Daphnia pulex: one gene and its partner. The protein of the gene in region 1 purifies or fractionates together with the protein of each later gene. This does not show direct contact. Links are inferred from orthologs where the notes say so. Each region holds a gene or a part of one and is shown on either strand. Other genes may lie near its edges.

Region 1 (4,306 bases):
TAAACTGAGCACTTGTGTAAGGAAGACAAATTGCGAAAATTGCCAGGTGACTAGGGAAGCCGTAGTGGTAAAGGCAATACAGCATAAATGTTTCCAGTGTGGAGTTGTTTGACGCAAACACCAGGAGACTGACAAAATCTGAGCCAAAATCAATGGATAGCCGAAGCTTTCTCGCAACGGAGGTGTCCATTGAACGCGCGTACACTGTCTCACCATAGAATTACATAAGTAATTTTGTTATGTCATACGTCGTACTTTTCAGAATTATACCTCTACGTGATTAAAAAAGAAAGCAGAAATGGCAATGATGCCTCCAAATATTGAACGACTTAGGTAGCAACCGTAAAGGAAAATTAGGGCGGCTGTGATCCCTGCACAGAGCCACACTCCATTAATGTAAAAATAGGAAGGATCACCTAAACCTTCACAGCTCCAAACCGCTGGTAGATCGTCTCCGCGATCAACTTGCCAACATTCTTTAGTTTTAATTCCGGCAGTATTTGTAAAGTGTATGAAACCCCTATATGCAGCTCCTAAAATTACCTGCAATGATTTCCAATAATATTTAGAAAGATAAATGAACAAGTTTTTAAATATCACATGTACCTCGGGATAGAGATTAAATCTCTGTAATGTGTTGATGGTTGACGGATACTCTGTTTTGTTGTCGTTCATTATACTGTGAAGTCCCAAGAAGAATGACGGTGCATTGACAATCCTTTTGTAATACGAGTAGTAGCTGCAAAAAAAGAATAAATAATTTGATGATAGGGATAGAAAATCAAGGAATAAAAATAGTAAATCTTACAAGCCCATCTCAGAACGGAAGGTCATTTCCCTCTCAAGCGTAGAGAGATGTGAGAAGTGTCGATCATTTTCAAACATTGTAGATACATGGTAAAAATTGAGGCAGCTACACACTAACGCTAAATATAGTACACGAGAGAAATTGTACGTCAGCAACTAAAACATATGTTGGAAATTTTTTAGGGGAGAAGTATAACTAACCAATGGACACAATTAGTGCGTACTGCGCATAATGGGTGGTTGTTGGTAAGGTTGCTCCATCATTCATGATTCTTCAAATTCCGAATTATTTCACCACGTGTTGCTTGTTTTTTCTTGTTTGTTTTTGATTGCTTAGAAAAAAAAACTAGTTAATGTCAGCTGGTTTGCGGCAGCTGTCTATCTTCTCGCCGTCGTCTGTGCCGCTGTTGCAACACTTAAAACTTTTGGCAGTACTAAAAAAGAATAACAGATGGCTAGCCTAATTTTGTTTGAATTGTAAGTAACATGAAATAAATTACTCCTGATTTGTTTTTTTAAATTTTCATTACGCAAGTGTGATACGTAATGCTATTCTTATCGATTGAAATCATCATTTTTGGGAATGTTAATTAAATTTATCGTCAATTGAAAAAGTGACTATAGTTGCAGTTTTACTTACTAGATGGCGGTAATGCATGATTCAGGTAGAGAAATTATATTTTCCTTTCCTGTAATGCAAAGTTCTCATAGTCACTGTGGCACAGTCAGTATTCCTGTCAAACCTTTTCACGACTCACGAGTGAACGTGTCACTCGTAATTCCACTCAACATTCCACGAAATCATTTCTTTTAACTTCTTTTAACTCTTTAGAATTTATTAACGAAGATTCCGATTCATTTTCATCAATTTTAATCGTAAGTACTAATTTCTTTTTTTATTCTGTTTTTGGTGCATATCTCAGTTTTGTCCGCGAATATTTAAATTGTCTGCTGGACCATGTCACTGCGTTTGCAACGGAATCATTCAGATTCCGTTGATTGGATTAAATTAACCTTTTATATTATGGGTGCTAAGTTAACTATTATAGGGCATGAGAAAGAATTCCAATAGCCTAGTTAGATTTTTTTTTTAAATGTTCACCCAGTTATTTGAGAGCATCACTGTATAATCAGTACACCGTTAGGGTAACTTTCTCCAGCTGCCCCGAGGTTATCGTTTCTTTCTCGTCAAACAGGTTTAGGCTTTAACATACGATTTCTACTTCCGTATGTCTTTTAAAACAGAAAATCTTTCTCTTAGATTATCAAACTGAATTATAGTTTTTAAGATCTTTTTGAGATAGAATAGAACTGAATCTGTTACAGTTGTTACACCGTTGCTTTGATGGTGTACCGACTGAATCTGACGTCTGCGTGAGCGTAGGAAAAAGAAGGGTGGGCGACAACCGATCAATACCTAGAAGACTCTCACCTTTGTTCGCGGTTGCGATTCGGCAAAATTAACTTTCCTCTTTTCCTTTTGAAGTCTAGACTATCTATACAGAATGTCTGCCCGAGCCATTTGGGAAGCAACGGGCAAGGACTTGATTAACCGGAATTTGAATTACTCCAACGGCGTGGCCAAGTGTCGTTTCGCTGTCTATGACCAAAGCGTCTCATGGAGCCAACTTGTCCAGCAGGAACCTTGGCTCGAAACCGAGGTGAGTGATTAGTTTCCTTTTTTGAAAAATATATAATAACAGTTCTTCGAATGAATGACATTTGTCCCTGCGTCCCGTTCCGAGTATTCTCAAGTAGGAAATGCCCGAATTGATAATAAATTTTTATTTTTTTATGCTTTTAAATCGTGTACAGAAACTGGTGGTGAAGCCGGATCAGCTCATAAAGCGACGTGGAAAATTGGGTCTCATCAAGGTCAATGTGGACTTTACTCAAGTCCAAGAATGGGTTAATGAAAGGATAGATAAAGACGTCCAGGTAATTTTGATTCTTTGAAATTTAATCTTGTATTTTTGTTTGTTTTATGTTTAAATATTTTTTTTTATGGAATGCCAGAAATGTTTGATAAATTGAATTAAATCTATTTATTCAGGTGGGCAAGGCAACTGGTAAACTGCGTCGTTTCATTATCGAACCGTTTATTGCACACAAAGACGTAAGCATATAGATAAGGAAACGTGCTCAATATGTTGTGAAATTATAATGCGTCTATAAAATAAAAACAGGAGGAGGAGGCATACGTTTGCGTTTACTCTGAACGCAACGGCGACGTCATTCTCTTTCACCACCAAGGAGGCGTGGATATTGGCGACGTGGACGAAAAAGCTTTGCGCCTGTCCGTGGAAATCGACAATAAACCCAGCCGGGAGGATATATTGAGCGGTTTGCTGGTCAACGTCAGCGACGATGCCAAAAAAGAGTGGGTTCAATTTGTCGAAAAATTTCAAGTTGCCAAGTTTCCTCCCTTTTGTTATCAGTCAAAGGACAAATGTTGATTGGCTGAATTTCGATTACCATTTCAGACGAGTGGCCGACTATATCGTTGCCCTCTACGATGTCTACGTCGATCTCCATTTCACCTACATGGAAATCAACCCGTTGGTGGTGACGGCGGAAGGCGGTGTCTTCATGCTGGATTTGGCGGCCAAAATCGATGCCACGGCCGATTTTCTCTGTCGCACCAAATGGGGAAGCATCGAATATCCGCCTCCGTTCGGCCGCGACGCCTATCCCGAGGAGGCCTATATCGCCGACCTGGATTCGAAAAGTGGCGCTTCGCTCAAGTTGACCATCTTGAACAGGGCTGGACGCATCTGGACCATGGTGGCCGGTGGAGGCGCTTCGGTCATTTATTCCGACACCATTTGCGATTTGGGCGGCGCTGCCGAACTGGCTAATTACGGCGAGTACTCGGGCGCCCCGTCTGAGCAGCAAACTTACGAGTATGCTAAAACCATTCTCAGTCTAATGACCCAAGATAAACATCCAGACGGAAAGGTATTGATCCAATGTTAGTTTTGACTGATTTTTGGGGGTTGCAACAATTAGGGGAAAAAGTCACGGGGTACTTTTGATGTGTCATTCTGACTCGGCGGATATACATTACCGCCGTTTCCGTTGTTATCACAGGACTTTTGGTGAAGTAATCTCGATTTCAATAGCGTTTTGATTTCGGCCTTTCGAAATGAAAAAAGTTCAAAGGTCGTTTCGTGGTTGTCCTTTTACAAAAAGACAACATTCGAAATAATACGCTGATTAGTGTCTTTTAAAACCTGATATCGAGTTATCTTTTTTTCTTTAATAAATCGCACATGGCGTGATCGTGAGGATTGCATCATCTTTTTTAAACCCCTGAATTTCAAATGTGACCTAAATGACTTAAAGAACGTCTCGTGTGAATTGATGGTAACCTGATAGTGCCGGTTTCTCTTGACTTTTTTAGGTGCTGATCATTGGAGGCGGAATCGCTAATTTCACTAACGTTGCGGCCACGTTTAAGGGCATCGTTAAGGCTCTGTTGCAGTACCAGACCAAATTG
Region 2 (4,496 bases), on another chromosome or scaffold:
TACATTGTTTTTCTTTCTATAGGTGGGCGTTTGCCATGTGCGGTTACTTTCAAGTACTTAATTACATCCAACCTCTGTGGGAAACAGTGGCTCCGTCAGGAACAAACAATATTTACAACGGCGCTGTAGAAGCCACGCATACGTTCCTCAGTAAAAGATATAAAGAAATGTGTATGATTCATAAATTGAAATTATAATCATGCTTTTTTTAATAGGTGCTCTCGCTACCATAGCTATTGGCTATGCGCCCGTCAATTGGTCAGTGTATGGTGAACCTGTAATAGCTGTGATATCATTATTTGAAGGTGCCATGTTATACTTAGCTGGCAGTTCTAATGAACTGTGGGTAGCGTACGTTACTTACATGGCCTTTTGCATAACGTATAGTGTTCTTATTACAATTGCAAGGTATGCATTTCATTGTATGAGATCTTTTCGGATTCTAATATTCAGTTGCTTTTTTAATATAGTTCGGAAGTAGCAAAAGGATTGAAACAGGAAAGCTATGGTCTGGTGTTTGGAATCAACACATTTCTCGCCCTGTTTTTCCAAACTATTCTAACTTTGATTGTAGCAGATAGTGCTGGATTGGCGCTCGAACCTCCGGACCAGGTATTATTAGAAAATTTTTCTTGGAAATTTAAGAATCTAATTAATAAATTTTGTAGTTTAAAGTGTACGGAGGCTATTATTTTGTCCTGGGTGTTGTGTTCATTTCCATGGCCGCCTATAATGCCGGACGTAGAAGTAATTGATTTGGCTAGAAAAACTAGCGCACTCGGTATTTATGATTTCGTTCTTCATGAACGTTACGCATCTTTCCAGTGATAGACAAATTGTTGGTATGTCAATGTTACTAGTCTAAAAAGTGAACCAGTGAAAAAATAAAAGTTTGGCACAAAGTATTTAATAAAAAATTCAAATGTTTTTATTTTAAAATTTTCTTCTTTTATTAGAAATGGCATTTATCCGCATTTATCCTTTTTTCTCCAAGCAATAAAAAAGCATTTGTATTATTATCGTATTTGTTTTTAAAATTAACTAAAAATCGATGACTTAAAGCAATAGCTCCGAGGAGGCGCAGACAGAAAAATAATAAACGAACATACAGCTACGCTTCAAATTTTTTCTTCAACAGGATGTTTCATTTCAAATTTCAAAAAATGCATTTCTTCGTTTGCTGAAAAATTCGTAAAAAATAATGAAGGGAGAGCATTAGCCGCTAGATGACGTCTGTTTTCATGGCGGCTTTAGTTGCTCATTTTAGAAGGCAGAAGAATAAATGTCTCAAGCAAGAAATAAATAATTGCCTTTCACATTAGTTTCAAACGGAAAATAAATGTATACATTAAATTATCCACGCTTCACTGATATGTATTTTTAATTGCACAAAGTGGCTATTAATGGTTCCATAATCTACCGCTACTATTATTGTAAGCTCTGCTGCTCTGGCCGTAGTTCTAGTAAGCTTTGAATTTCGGCGGACAGAAATCCAGAACCTTCCGTCGTCTGTATCGTGTGTAAGCCTTTTCGCGAAGTTTCTCGTGTCCCTCGCTCTCAGTATCGAAATCATTCCCCACTTGGAAACGTTTCATTGACAGTGTGCAGGCGTGTGAATTTACATCAACGTTTCATCCGTACCTTCTGATCGCGATTGTCTTGTTTTATCATGGCAAACAAGGTATGGAAATTAGTATTGTACTATAAAACTGAAAGAACTAGGGTTTTTGATCATTACATTTGTTCTATAAATTTAGGCAACTCAATTGAAAGATCAAGGAAATGCGGCCTTGTCGGCTGGTAAATTAGATGAAGCTGTAGCCCTTTACTCAGAAGCATTGGCTATAGACCCAGAAAATCATGTTCTGTACAGCAATCGGTCAGCTGCATATGCGAAAGCTGGAAAGTACCTGGAAGCTTTACAGGATGCTGAGAAGACTGTTTCATTAAAGCCTGATTGGGGTAAGGGTCATTCACGAAAAGGTGCTGCATTGGCTTATCTTGGCCGTGATGTTGAAGCTCAAAAAGCCTATGAGGAAGGACTCAAGTATGACCCAAACAATGAACAACTTAAAGAAGGTCTTCTTGAAGTGAAGAACAAGGTTGGATCACAAGGAGCAAAACTCATGAATCCGTTTGCTGGACCAGATGTCATGAACAAACTACAGAACAATCCAAAAACAAAAGCAATGTTTGAAGATCCAACTTATCGACAGTTGATCCAAGACCTTCAAAATAATCCAGGTGCGATGGCCACCAAATTGGGTGATCCAAGAGTTTTGGCCACCCTCAGTGTCTTGCTAGGAGTGGATTTGGAGGCTTCAAATGAAGGTATTATGTGAAAACAAAGTAGTGGACAATAGTAACTGAAAAGGAGATGTTTCTCAGGAGATGAACCAATGGATACCACAGAACCTTCACCACCACTTGATCCGAAAGAAGAGAAGAAAAAAAGGGAGGAAGAAGAGAGAAAGAGGGAGGAAAAAGCCAAATATGATGCTCTACCAGAAGAGAAGAAAAAGGTATGCCTAACATGTGTGATTTTCTCAGTTATGATAACAACAATTATATTTAATAGGCTCTTGATGAAAAAGAAAAGGGAAATGCAGCTTATAAGAAGAAAAATTTTGCTGCTGCAATAGAACACTACAACAAGGCTGTAGAGCTAGATCCAACTGACATGACTTATGTCACGAATTTGGCTGCTGTTTATTTTGAACAAAAGGATTACGAAAAATGTGTGGAACTTTGTAAACAAGCAATTGACATTGGCAGAGAAAATAGGGCCGACTTCAAGCTAATTGCCAAAGCTTATACGCGAATTGGCAACTCGTATAAAAAGCTAAAGGTATTTGACATTATTCAAACTATTACTGTACGTCTATTTAAAACACTCTCTTTAAGGACTTGGCAAATGCAAAATTACATTTCGAAAAATCACTCTCAGAGTTCCGCTCGCCAGAGACAAAAACATTGCTATCTGAAGTGGAAAGTTTGCTTCGTGAGGAACAACGCAAGGCATACATCAATCCGGAAATTGCAGAGCAAGAAAAGGAGAAAGGAAATGAATTTTTTCGTAAAGGTAAATCTCTTTTCCGGAAGGAGAAAGTAAACTCAGTTAATTTATTATTTGTTCTCTTGAACTTCCTTACATAGGTCAATACGCTGATGCATTAAAATGTTACTCGGAGGCGATAAAGCGTAACCCTGGCGACGCTAAAGTTTACAGTAATCGTGCTGCCTGCTATACAAAGCTGGCAGCTTTTGATTTAGGTTTGAAAGATTGTGATGTCTGTTTAGAGCTTGAACCATCATTTGGTAAGAAAATGTTTTGGTCTATAGCGCAGTCTGATATTTTTTAATGTCTTTTTAGTTAAGGGATGGATTAGGAAAGGAAAGATTCTCCAGGGAATGCAGCAATATAGTAAGGCTTCTACCGCTTTTCAGAAAGCTATGGAGCTTGATCCAAACGCCTCGGTAGTTTTATTTATTTTGGTTGGTTAAAGAAAAATCAACTCACTTTTTCTTGTGTTTTTATATTAGGAAGCGCTTGATGGCTACCGCGCATGCATGATGCAAACTAACTCAAATCCTGAGGAAGTGCGCAAAAGAGCAATGGCAGATCCAGAAGTCCAAGCTATATTGCGTGACCCTGCCATGCGTATGATTTTAGAACAAATGCAGAATGAACCTCGTGCTCTGCAAGAGTAAGTAGCGTATGTATGTTAAGAGTGATGCAAATATTAACAAATTGTTTATTCAATTTAGCCATCTAAAAAATCCTGCGATTGCTACTAAAATCCAGAAGCTGATTGAATCTGGACTGATTTCCATTCATTAATTAATTGTACCATGCTTACTTTTCTAAGAAATCAAGTGGAGTCAAAATTTTGATTGATATGATTGTCAATTCTTGTATTCTTTTTCATGAAATATAAAAGAAAAAGAATATTTGAAATGAAAAATTTAATTGTTTTACATGATTGTACTATTTTTCACAAAGCTCTCAAATAATGGGTTGTAGTACTATCATGTATGCACTGTAAATTACAACCAAACTTGGCTTTTGCCATTTATAGTTTTTAACTTGTCAATTGACAGTTTGTCAAAAAATAAAAGTCCAGCAGCTCTTTCTACTGTTTCTGGAGGTACTTGAAATACAGACAGTGGAGTTTTGTCATCTATAGGTTGATTTGGCATAACATAGGATTCCAAAGAAAGCTCTTGTTTCTGATTTTCTATGACTACGACTTTGAAGAAATGGGTAGGCACTGCAACATGATTCTTGCCAATTACCTGATATTTTACATACATTTTGCCATCATCTTCCTTCCTAAGTTAAGAAAATATACAATGATAATTATTATTTCCATTTGTTTGAGTAAGCATTCATGTAATAATCATCTACCTGGGCAGGTAGAGTGGTCCTAAAAACAAATTTGTCATCAGATTGATTCCATAAAGAAATGTTTGAGCAATGTTAATTACCTGTGCAC

What was found.
Region 2: the proteins of ATP-citrate synthase-like (region 1) and stress-induced-phosphoprotein 1-like fractionate together in Homo sapiens (co-fractionation; 3 studies listed by BioGRID, with this or other methods). This does not show direct contact. The link is inferred for Daphnia pulex from reciprocal best matches to the Homo sapiens genes ACLY and STIP1.

Annotation. Positions count from the first base shown.
Region 1 is NC_060018.1:8,031,369-8,035,674, reverse strand, and holds the start of ATP-citrate synthase-like, read left to right. Parts: upstream 1-1,482; 5' UTR 1,483-1,683; intron 1,684-2,293; exon of another isoform or gene 2,294-2,298; 5' UTR 2,299-2,312; coding exon 2,313-2,468; intron 2,469-2,622; coding exon 2,623-2,745; intron 2,746-2,860; coding exon 2,861-2,923; intron 2,924-2,993; coding exon 2,994-3,187; intron 3,188-3,290; coding exon 3,291-3,765; intron 3,766-4,210; coding exon 4,211-4,306. Other genes in the region: probable C-mannosyltransferase DPY19L1, read right to left, coding at 1-204, 271-543, 607-739, 809-926, 1,009-1,075. UniProt on the Homo sapiens protein: Catalyzes the cleavage of citrate into oxaloacetate and acetyl-CoA, the latter serving as common substrate in multiple biochemical reactions in protein, carbohydrate and lipid metabolism.
Region 2 is NC_060024.1:9,161,335-9,165,830, forward strand, and holds stress-induced-phosphoprotein 1-like, read left to right. Parts: upstream 1-1,459; 5' UTR 1,460-1,669; coding exon 1,670-1,681; intron 1,682-1,757; coding exon 1,758-2,331; intron 2,332-2,388; coding exon 2,389-2,522; intron 2,523-2,578; coding exon 2,579-2,848; intron 2,849-2,904; coding exon 2,905-3,082; intron 3,083-3,156; coding exon 3,157-3,318; intron 3,319-3,373; coding exon 3,374-3,477; intron 3,478-3,543; coding exon 3,544-3,707; intron 3,708-3,768; coding exon 3,769-3,841; 3' UTR 3,842-4,047; downstream 4,048-4,496. Other genes in the region: thiamine transporter 1-like, read left to right, coding at 23-150, 216-408, 471-612, 669-755; endonuclease G, mitochondrial-like, read right to left, coding at 4,048-4,333, 4,409-4,427, 4,489-4,496. UniProt on the Homo sapiens protein: Acts as a co-chaperone for HSP90AA1. Mediates the association of the molecular chaperones HSPA8/HSC70 and HSP90.